Linked DNA regions of Callithrix jacchus. The protein of the gene in region 2 interacts with the protein of the main gene of each other region in a biochemical or structural test. Links are inferred from orthologs where the notes say so. Each region holds a gene or a part of one and is shown on either strand. Other genes may lie near its edges. The genes, in order: PTPN12, SHC1 and CSF3R.

What was found.
Region 1: the proteins of SHC1 (region 2) and PTPN12 form a complex in vitro, tested with the Homo sapiens proteins (2 studies listed by BioGRID). The link is inferred for Callithrix jacchus from reciprocal best matches to the Homo sapiens genes SHC1 and PTPN12.
Region 3: the proteins of SHC1 (region 2) and CSF3R form a complex in vitro, tested with the Homo sapiens proteins (2 studies listed by BioGRID, with this or other methods). The link is inferred for Callithrix jacchus from reciprocal best matches to the Homo sapiens genes SHC1 and CSF3R.

What each region holds. Positions count from the first base shown.
Region 1 is NC_133512.1:72,500,724-72,504,369, reverse strand, and holds part of PTPN12 (tyrosine-protein phosphatase non-receptor type 12), read left to right. Parts: intron 1-2,806; coding exon 2,807-3,646. UniProt on the Homo sapiens protein: Dephosphorylates a range of proteins, and thereby regulates cellular signaling cascades. Dephosphorylates cellular tyrosine kinases, such as ERBB2 and PTK2B/PYK2, and thereby regulates signaling via ERBB2 and PTK2B/PYK2.
Region 2 is NC_133519.1:15,383,471-15,387,216, forward strand, and holds the start of SHC1 (SHC-transforming protein 1), read right to left. Parts: upstream 2,339-3,746; 5' UTR 2,118-2,338; coding exon 1,623-2,117; intron 1,025-1,622; coding exon 954-1,024; intron 418-953; coding exon 354-417; intron 200-353; coding exon 80-199; intron 1-79. UniProt on the Homo sapiens protein: Signaling adapter that couples activated growth factor receptors to signaling pathways. Participates in a signaling cascade initiated by activated KIT and KITLG/SCF.
Region 3 is NC_133508.1:73,047,138-73,050,883, reverse strand, and holds the start of CSF3R (granulocyte colony-stimulating factor receptor), read left to right. Parts: upstream 1-1,100; 5' UTR 1,101-1,353; intron 1,354-2,861; 5' UTR 2,862-2,916; intron 2,917-3,746. UniProt on the Homo sapiens protein: Receptor for granulocyte colony-stimulating factor (CSF3), essential for granulocytic maturation. Plays a crucial role in the proliferation, differentiation and survival of cells along the neutrophilic lineage.

The DNA.
Region 1 (3,646 bases), on a different chromosome or scaffold from region 2:
GGTCAGAAGTTCAAGACCAGCCTGGCCAATGTAGGGAAAACCCCATCTCTACCAAAAATACAAAAATCAGTCAGTTTCATGGCACATGCCTGTAATCCCAGCTACTTGTGAGACCGAGACAGGAGAATCACTTGAACCTGGGAGGTAGAGGTTGCAGTGACCCAAGATCACACCACTGCACTGCAGCCTGAGTGACAGAGTAAGACTCTGAATCAATAAAAATAATAAAATACTGATTGTTGACAAGTGGTCTCATGTACATGTAGGAGAAATAATAAACCTCAATTTATATCAAAATTTTATTTTGTCCTTTTAAAACTCATATTTCCTATTTGTATTATGTGTTCTTAGGATAACCTATTGATCTTTGTGTATGCTTTGTAAACTGTAGGAGGTGTCTGCAATTATTTTTTGTTTTAGATCACAAAAACTCGATGGCTACTCTTTTAAGATTCAGAACCTGCTTTTATAGGCCAGGTACAGTGGCTTATACCTGCAGTCTCAGCTCTTTGGAAGGATATGGCAGGTGGATTGCTTGAGTTTAAGAGTTTGAGACCAGCCTGGTCAACATGAACATGGCGAAAACACATGTCTACAAAAAATACAAAACTTAGCCAGGTGTGGTGGTGCACACCTGTAGTCCCAAGCTACTTAGGAGGCTAAACTGGGAGGATGGCTTGAGCCCTGGAGGCAGAGGTTGCAGTGAGCCAAGATTGTTGCTACTGTATTTTAGCCCGGATAGCAGAGCCAGGACCCTGTCTCAAAAAAAAAAAAGAATCTGCTTGTAAAACTTAAACAGATATAGGAACATTTTATGGGAGTATTGCTGTTGTTTTAATATGACCAGTATTCTGGAGATACTCATTTAACTTCCCATGTCCTATTCTAGGAGTGTGTCTAGAGAATCTGAACTTCAGAGTCTCTTTTAAGGGGAAACCTGGTGTACCATGTGATTACTACCAATTCTGTTTGGATAATAAAAAGGTTGATCACCTTGAAGAAAAAAAAGCAAAAACTCTGATGTGGGGCCCAGTGACTCACTCCTGTAATCCCAGCACTTTGGGAGGGGAAGGCAGGAAGACCACTTGAGGCCAGGAGTTCAAGACCAGCCTGTCCAACATTGCAAAACCCTGTCTCTACTAAAAATACAAAAATTAGCCAGGCATGGTGGCATGTGCCTGTAGTCCCAGTTACTCAGGAGGCTCAGTCATGAGAATTGCTTGAACCCAGGAGGTGGAGGTTGCAATGAGCTGAGATGGTGCCACTGCACTCCAGCCTGGGCACCAGAACGAGACTGTATCTAAAAAAGAAAAAGAAAATCAAAATAACTCAGATATACAAGCCCTTAAGAAGTTTGCTTCATATAAAGTTCTTAAAAAGCCGCAAAGCCTGGGCAACATAGTAAACCCTATCTTTCTTTTTCTTTTAGACAGGATCTCATTCTGTCACCCAGGCTGGAGTACAGTTGTATGATCACAGCTCACTGCAGCCTCGACCCCCCTGCCCCCAGGCTCAGGTGATCCTCCCACTTCCACATGCACTGCCACACCCGGCTAATTTTTTTGTATTTGTTGAAGGCACAAGGTTTTGCTATATTGCCCAGGCTGGTCTTGAACCCCCAGGCTCAAGCAATCCACCTGCCTTGGCCTCCCAAAGTGGTAGGATTTATAGACGTAAGCCACTGTGCCCAGCCCCCATCTTTTTTTTTTTTTTTTTTTTTTTGAGACAGTGTCTCTTTGTTGCCCAGGCTGGAATGCAGTGGTGCCATCTCAGCTCATTGCCATTTCCACCTCCCAGGCTCAAGTAGTTCTCCTGCCTCAGCCTCCTGAGTAACTGGGACTACAGGCATGCTCCACCTCACCTGGCTAATTTTTGTATTATTAGTAGAGATGGGGTTTTACCATCTCTACTAATGGTAAGTTCAAGACTGGTCTTGAACTCCTGAGCGAAAGCAATCTGCCCACCTTGGCCTCCCAAAGTGCTGGGACTACAGGCGTGAGCCATGACACCTGGCCCTATCTCTTTAAGGAAAAAAATAAAGGCAACCAGAGGATATAACCCACCCAAACAAAGGAATATACCCAGAAAGAGGAAGATGTGACCTGGGGAAACAGGAGAATCTGAAACCAGGGAGAACATTAGCACTATGGTGGACTAGGGAACCAGTGGTTCACACTGGAGCAGGAGGCCAAAGGTTACTAAGAGGGATGTCTGTGGTATTGTTAGTTACCAGGTGTGCTTGTTACTATTGAGAAGAGGTATACCAGTCTGCAGGAAAGTTACAAGAAAAGCCGAGTAACTGAAGGTGGATAGAGAGCTACGCCATCAGAAACCCAAGGCAGTCATTAGGGGAAAACAAGACATGATAGAAGAAAAGACATAAAATCATGGCAACAAAAAATTACATTATGACAGTATTAGAAAGATGGAAAAGAAGGACGTTTCACAGTAGCAAGTCAATAGAAAATGTGTGAAATAAAGATTAAGAAATAACTTTTGAAATAGTCTGAAATACAGAGGTAAATTTTAGAAGCAACTGTAAAAAGTTGAAAGTGGATGTCTCTGGCTAACTGGGGGGCTTTGGGGTGTGGAGGGAATATGATTTTTATTAAAAGTCTTATATTTGACTTTTTATATGGTATATGTGTGTTACCTTGTTGAACATTAAATTTTCTTAGTCTGAAAAATGACAATTTATATTAATAACCAGATTCTAATAGCTCTTAATATACTAGTCTTAGCTACATAATTCTCATGTATCAACGTGTTTAACAGTCTTAAAATGCTCTTTTTAAATGTTTTTCAGTTGCCTTGTTGAAGGGGATGCTAAAGAAGAAATATTGCAGCCACCAGAACCTCATCCGGTGCCACCCATCTTGACACCTTCTCCCCCTTCAGCTTTCCCAACAGTCACTACTGTGTGGCAGGATAATGATAGATACCATCCAAAGCCAGTGTTGCATATGGTTTCATCAGAACAACATTCAGCAGACCTCAACAGGAACTATAATAAATCAACAGACCTTCCAGGGAAAAATGAATCAACAATCGAACAAATAGATAAAAAATTGGAACGAAATTTAAGTTTTGAGATTAAGAAGGTCCCTCTCCAAGAGGGACCAAAAAGTTTTGATGGGAACACTCTTTTGAATAGGGGGCATGCAATTAAAATTAAATCTGCTTCACCTTGTATAACTGATAAAATCTCTAAACAACAGGAATTAAGTTCAGATCTAAATGTCGATGATATTTCTCAGAATTCTTGTATGGACTGCAGTGCAACACAATCAAACAAAGTTCCAGTTACTCCACCAGAAGAATCACAGAATTCAGACACACCTCCAAGGCCAGATTGCTTGCCTCTTGATGAAAAAGGACATGCAACGTGGTCATTTCATGGACCTAAAAATGCCATACCCATACCTGATTTATCTGAAGGCAATTCCTCAGATATCTGCTATCAAACTATGAAAACTGTGAGTTTAACACCAAGTCCTACAACACGAGTTGAAACCCATGATCTTGTGGATCATAACACTTCACCTCTCTTCAGAACACCCCTCAGTTTTACTAATCCACTTCACTCTGATGACTCAGACTCAGATGAAAGAAACTCTGATGGTGCTGTGACCCAGAATAAAACTAA
Region 2 (3,746 bases):
CTAGTTTTTGGCCTCCTAACTAGATCTCCCCTTAGCACCCCCACCAGTGTTTCTAGTCCCCCTGCCCAACTCCACCAACCTGCTTGCAGTCTGCGGCCATGAGGTTGAGGCTGCTGGTGGAGATGGTGAGAGTGATTGGCATCCCAGCAAATTTCAGGTTACTCCTTCCCAGGATAGAGCTGAGCGGGCGGCTACAGGGCTAAGGTAGGGCCCAGGGTCTCAGAAGGTGAGGGTTCCCAGCTCCGGCAAACCACACTCTTGCCTTCTGGCCTTCCCCCACATGCCCCACACTTGCCTTCCCCCTGCCCCTCACATCTCCCAGCTGCATCCCTATCCCCAAGGACCCCAGATACCTTTCTCCTCCTTGTCGCCCCCTTAGCACCCGGCACAGCCTCACACACCAGACTGATGGCCTCCCTGGGGAAAGAGGGGTACTCAGACCCAGTGCCTGCCTGCTTCCCACTCAGCTGGGGCTGCCACAGGGCTGGGGGAGGGGAAAGCCAGGCCAGACTCCCAGGGCACTCCAGGCTCTTTGTCGTGGTGGATTGAATTAAGGGCCTTTAATATTTGATGACACTGAGAGGCCGCTTCCTGGCTGATTGGGTTAGGGCCTCAATGGGTACAGACCCACCCACTTCCAGCTACCAAATGTCCCATTCCCTTCCCAAAGGCAGCAGCAACCTTCCATCTACCCCCATTTTCTACTCCAGCTCTACCTGCCAGCTGCTTCTGCCACCTTCCCCACAACTCCCAAGGATGGATAGGTAAGGAGGATCCAGGCCAGAGGGGCCTCCTTTCAGTAAGATACAGAATTACCACCAGCTTTCTCTCAATCCCCTCCACTACCCAAAGATCAGCCCCCACCAGCAGCACTCAAGTGACCACTCCCCTCCTCCCTTTCCTGTGGCCTCACTAACCCCGGGACTCCCCCAATCCACTCCCTCCCCACTAACCTGGTGACCTGAGTCCGGGTGTTGAAGTCCAGGGCACGCATTGACTGCAGGACCTCCACACAGCCCATGTACTAAGCGGAAGGAGGGGAGGACAGCAGGTCAGCAGCTCCCCCACCCCAGCCCCTTCACAAAGGGCCCTAGGACTTTGCCCACATGGTCCTTAAGGGAAGTAGAGATGGAGAGGTTCTGCCCACTTCCCGTGGCTACATCCCACAATCAAGGTGAAAGACAACAGGGAATGAGGAGAGAAAGAAAGGCAGGCTAGAAAGAAGGACCTCGCACTGGGGAGAGAGTTTGGAGGGGACCGACAGGCATTGGCTGGGATGGAGTGACAACTCCAGAAAGCAGGAGGAGAATGGAGGGGAGGATCAATAAGTCACTCATTCCAACACTTACTAAGAGCTTCTGCCATGCTGGGCATTGTGCTAAGCATGGCAGGGTAGAGGTGGGGGTGGGGGAGTCAAAAGAAGGAAGGGGGCTCAGGCAGAGCTGGAAGGGAAGGGACTACAGAATCAGGGAAGGGATGGGAAAGGTTTAGGAAATAGGACACTGAAACGGGGTTGTAGAACAGCAGGAGAAAAGAGATTCCAGCCAAGCTGGAGTGAGCAGAACTGGGGGGGGGGGGGGGGCGGGGGCTGGGAGGGAGTGGAAGAGAGAATGTTCACTCACCCGAACCAAGTAGCAAACCCCGGGTCCCATGACTTTGTCGTTGGGATGCAGCCAGCCCCGTGTGGGCTTATTGACAAAGCTCCCGTGGCGGGTCCACTCCTCGCCCCCCAGCTGGCCCCCTTCCACCCGAGTCCTGCGCCCGCCGCCTCCACTCAGCTTGTTCATGTCCTGGAGGAGGGGTAGGGGGCCTGAGTCTGGCATGGCTGCCCCTACGATCCCCTCCCCATCATCGGCTGCCCTTCCTGGCTCCCCCTTAGGCCCGGGGCGCCCCCCAGCCGGATTGGCGAGCCTCAGGTTGCTCATCCGCGGGAAGAAGGAGCACAGGGTAGTGGGACTATCGTCCCCAGGCAGAGGAGGCAGGATGGGTCCCAGGGATGAGGCTGATGGGGAAGGCAGCTCCTCCGGGGGGGTGGACCCTGAAGCCCCCTCCTCCAGCGATGACAGAGACTCATTCCGGAGTGGATTGTACTTGGGCTTAGGGGGCAGGAGATCCATAGCTGAGGTGAGAAAGGGGCTGCTGCCCGGCCTGGCCCCCCTGCCAGTTTGGGCAAGGGGGCCAGGCAGAGGGTATCCCCAGGCCCTTAGCCTGGTCGGACCTCTGTGGCCCAGGAGTCACAGAAGTCCTGGGGAGGGAGAGGGACAAGTGGGTTCCGCTCCCCAGCTCAGACCCAGACAGTTTCAGGCCCCATCCCCGCCCAACGTGGAGCCTCTTCTCTGGCTGAGAAGAGAACAGGCTGGACCCAGAGCTGCCTGGCTCCTCCCTGGGGGCGGGGAGCTAAGGAGAGAGACCAATCCGGAGGACAGTGCTGACTCACAGGCTCAGAGGGGCTGAGCCCCACCCTGCCCCAACCTCGAACTCTCCCCAGCCCTATACAAACAACTAGTAATCTGGGGAGGAGTAAAGTGGGGGGTGGGAGGAGAGGATGGAGAAATAAGACGGAAAGGAGGGAGATAAGAGGAGGTGCGGGTCACTGGAAACCGGACACAGGCAGACCAAAGGGGCCAGGAAGCCAGGCGAGAGTAGAGAGGAATGAGGGAGGAAACGGAGGCAACTGGGGGTGGAAAAGGGAGGAGATCTCAGAGCTCAGCATTTCCCTTCCTGTCCTGGTTGAACACTAGAATTCCCCCATTCTCGAGCCCAGGCCACCCCGCACCACTACCACATACAGTGAGCCTGGGCCATTAGCATCCTCTGCTACAACAGCTGTGGACTGGAGCTAGCGAAGTGGGGATGGGAAGGAAGTGGTCCCAATGGATGCAGAGCAGGGTCAAGAGGAAGAGCAAAGCTGGTGAAAATCAGGGAATAAAGTCCAACCTGGATGGTACATCAGGAAGCTACCAGGCAAGAAGTGAACAAGAGGACATGCTGGTCACAGCTTGTTCTCTATGCGCGGCATCTACCACACCAAAGAGCTATGGCTCACAGCCAAGCACTATCCAGTCTCCCCTTTCCACAGGCTTAACACAGTACATTGTCAAGGGTGAGAATGAGGCCTCAGGTCCCCACACCCACTCCAAACCACCCCACTTCATATCCCTGCTCTTACAGGGCCCTAAGCCCCACCAAAGAGTACAGTGTCCCTCACACCTGGGAAGGAGCCTGGCTGAAAGAAGAAACAGTTCTCCAAGAGACATAGAAGCTACACGCCAGGAAAGGACAGAGAGATCAGAAGACGCATCCATGTCAATAAGGACAGGAGAAAAAATAAGTACAGGACAAAGGGATGTCAGGAGAAGACGGGCTGAAGCTGGCACAGGGAACAGTCCCAATCCCATTCCCGCCACCCACGGCTTCCTGCCACTGCTCTTCTGGAGAATGCCATAGGAAAGCTGGAAAGTGACCAAAAAAACAAGTTAAAGATACATATTCCCACCAGGTGCAGTGGCTCACGCCTGTAATCCCAGCACTTTGGGAGGCTGAGGCAGGTGGATCACCTGAAGTCAGGAGTTCGAGACCAGCCTGGTTAACATGGTGAAACCCTGTCTCTACTAAAAATACAAAAAATTACCTGGAAATGGTGGCAGGTACCTGTAATCCCAGCTCTGGAGGCTGAGGCAGGAGAATTGCTTGAACCCAGGAGGTGGAAGTTGCAGTGAGCCGAGATCAAGCCACTGCACTCCAGC
Region 3 (3,746 bases), on a different chromosome or scaffold from region 2:
TGTCCAGACACAGGAGCCACTGGAAAGTTTGGCACAAGGATGACCTGATCAGACTTCTGTTTAACTGATAACGCACTGGCTGTTGAAGGAGCCAGGTGGGAGAACAAGGATGAAAGAAGCAGGAGAGCAGGGAGGGGGCTATTTAGACGGCCTAGGCAAGAGATGAGGGTAGCTTGGGGCTGGCTGGCATTGGTTTAAGTGATATTTATATTTTCCAATATATTATCATAAAATTAATCGCACGTACAGCCAAGTCGAACTTTACAGTGAATACCCAGGATTCTGGTTATATTTTGAAAGAGGAGAGTCCCCGGGATTCACTGAGTGAGTGGAGCCTGTGGGATTTCTTGGGAGGCTACAGTGGGCAGTCGGGTCATTTGACCTGGAAATAGAAATGCAGCCCTGGTCTGCAGCATCACACCACACCCAGATGCTTGAAAAGGATTCTATGTTAAGGACAGCCTGCTGGCCTGTTGGTACCTCACCTTGATTGTGTTATGAGTCCAATAAACTATGGGCAGTTTGAACATCTCTCAGAAAATGCAAAGAAAATTATTTGTAGTTGCTGAGGCATCATAAATACAGACAATAAAAGACATAAAATGTAGTCTATTTCACCCAATTACAAAATATTCAGTGTTGCAGAACCATTGTGGGTAAACATTAGTAATTTTTAGTGAACATAGGAAGACCCCATGCCCCCCCCAAGACATCCTCCTGTCTTGCCTCTAGAACGCCTGTTTCTCCCTCCACCTGGTCTATGGGCAATGCAGAGAATACGTAAGGAAGATGGGAGCAGTAAGTTTTGGGTTATAAAATTCCCTGGAACCTGGAAGACACCCTTCTGCGTACTGTGAAGACCTGGGCCCCAAGGCTAGAGCTGAGAAGAGGCTTGGGGCTGGGTGAGCCTTCCAGCCAAGCTCTGCCTCCAAGTGATGCTCCCCCAGGGCTGGGGGCATGGGGATGGCATCCAGCCAGGTGGGAGCCTGGGCCCTCCCCAGCCTCAAAGCTTTGAGCTCAGGAAATCCGGAGGCAGGGGAGGGGGACATTGTTGCCACATTCCCCAGCCCTTTAAGACCCCCAAGGCAGGAAGGCTGCCCGGGCCTCACCAGCTTCCCTCGCAGGCTCCTTCCTGGGAGGAAGGGGCTGCCTGTGCCCTCGAAGGCACAAGGGAGGGTAGGAGAGAGGCTCGGAAGGTGTTGCAATCCCCAGCCCCCGGGCCTGTCAGAGGCCGAGCCATTAACGACAGAGCTTGGGGAGAGAAGCTGGACTGCAGCTGGTTTCAGGAACTTCTCTTGACGAGGTGAAGAGAGACCAGGGAGGCCAAGCAGATGCTGGACCAGAGGCTCCAATGTGAGTAGGGGATCTCTGGAGAGGGGCTGAGCCTTGGGCTTGACGGAGAGCTGGAATCCTGGGGCCATTCTCCGCAGCTCCGCCAAGTATTCATGTCCGGGGTCCTAGGTCTGGGGCCAGGGATTCATCCTTTGGAATATGCAGCCTGGTCACTGACTCTCTTTTCACAGGGTGCCCCTACTTTTTGGGGTATTGCACCAGGGAAGTCACTCACAGCCAAGTTTCTCCCTGGGGGCACTGAGCTAGGCTGGGGGCAGACAAAATCGTTCTCCCATGCCTCTGTCTCTCAGAACGTGTGTGTCTGTGAGTTCCAGCTCCATCTGGGCCTCTGTCTATTTCACTCTCTGTTTCCATATTTCCTCCTGAAACTTCTCTCTGGCTTGCTGTCTCTCTGAGTTTGTCTCACATATTTCCTGCTATCCCTTGAATCTTAAACTCTTGGTAACAGACTGCTTCCCGGGCTCCAGGCCACTGAGTGCCTCTGGCTCTCTGGGTCGGCGGACTTGTCTCTTGGGCCCTTTTTCTCTGTCTCTCGACATCTCCGGCCTCAATCTTCCTCTCGGTGGGTCTCTGTCATTTCAGTCTGTGTGGATTTCAGTCACCGCCTTGCTCTGTTATTCTTTGTGGCGTTCTCTTCTTTATCTGCAGCACACTGGAAAGCCCTCTCCCTCTGTTTATTCCCAGCCCCCTCTTCCCTCCCCACCCTTCACACAGAAAGAATCTCGAGGTAAGAGTAAAAACAGCAAGGGAGCAAGGGGTGTGAACTGGGGAAAAGAGTGTGAGGGGAGAAAGTTGAGGGTGATGGAGGGAGAAACAGCAAGAGGGGGCTCAACGGCAGCTAGCACTGGAGGCACAGAGGTGTGCTAGGCAGCCAGCCCAGGAGGCACAGAGGTGTGCTAGGCAGCCAGCCCAGGAGGCACGGTGGTGTGCTGGGCGGCCAGCCCAGGAGGCACGGAGGTGTGCTGGGCGGCCAGCCCAGGAGGCACGGTGGTGTGCTGGGCGGCCAGCCCAGGAGGCACGGAACTGTGCTGGGCGGCCAGCCCAGGAGGCACGGTGGTGTGCTGGGCGGCCAGCCCAGGAGGCACGGTGGTGTGCTGGGCAGCCAGCCCAGGAGATGGTGTGCTGGGCAGCAGCCTCGGAACGAGCTCCTGCAGAGCCCGGTGGCAGAGAAGGCCACAGTGACAGGAGGGCCAGGGGCCAGGGAGCTAGGAGGAGAGGATCCAGAAAGGGGGTTTGGGAACTGTGCAGTGTGGCACAGATAAAAGCAAGGTGGCAGTCCTGGGAGGTGTGGCCATGCAGGCTGTGAGGGAGGCAGGGGTGAAGGGAGAACTGAACGGTGCTGGATTCTGTGAGCTGATGACCCACTTTATGGCTCATGAAAATAACCTACAGTTGCTGAGTGCCGATTCCATGCCAGGCACAGTGCTAAGTGCCTTTACCATAATCATCTCATTTCATCCTCACAACAACCCTGAGGCATGAGTGCTAATGTTATTTATTTTCCACAGATGGGGAAACTGAGGCTCGGCTCAGAAAGGTGAAGTAACTTGTCCAAGGTCACAAGTAAGTGGTGGAGCCAGAGATCAAGTCAGGTGACCTGAATCTGAGCTGGGCTCCAAACCTCTCTGCATATCAGCCCCCCAGAGAGTGAGATGATGCTCCAACAGGCCCTAGGCCCTCTCAACCTGGGTGGGGGGTGCCCAGGGCTGCAGTGAGGGACCAGGGACTGAGGCCAAGCAGGCCAACACCCAGCATCCAGCGGGAGGAGGCCAGGGCCTCTCGGGGCTAGATTGTCTGCTCTGGACAGGAGCCAATGGAGGCAGATAAGGTGGTACTGCACGGGGCATAGGCTGGGCCTGAAGCTGACCCTGGCTAGGGCAACAGAGCTGGGATATGATCAAAAGCACATGGAGATGAAAACCAGTGTCCCAAAGTCTTGGGCTTGGAGGCTAAATCTTCCCCAACCACTGTTAAGGGGGATAATCAAACTGGTGTGCTGTAGTAAGAAGGTGACTAACCACCGATGTGTAGACAGATGCTTGGGATAGTTGTGCAGGTTTCTCACTGCACAAAACTGAGTAGTAACTGGAGATGAAATCCAGGCTGTGCCCTAGTTGTCAGGTCCTAGTGTGGTGCTGCATCCATCCTGAAGAAGGGGTGCTTTCTTTCTGATCTGCACAAAGGAGACTTACAGGCTAGAGTCCCTGGGTATTCTGATACTGCAATATATATGGATAGACTGGGGTCTGGGTAAGGCCCCTGTGAGCAGGAATAGCCTTGGGTATCTGGGCAATTCTTATCCACACCTCTGTCTGTGAGGGATAGGAAAAGATTCTCCTACCTTTCTCCCTGCTGAGCACAAGTGATCTGCTGGGACACCACCTGCATATATG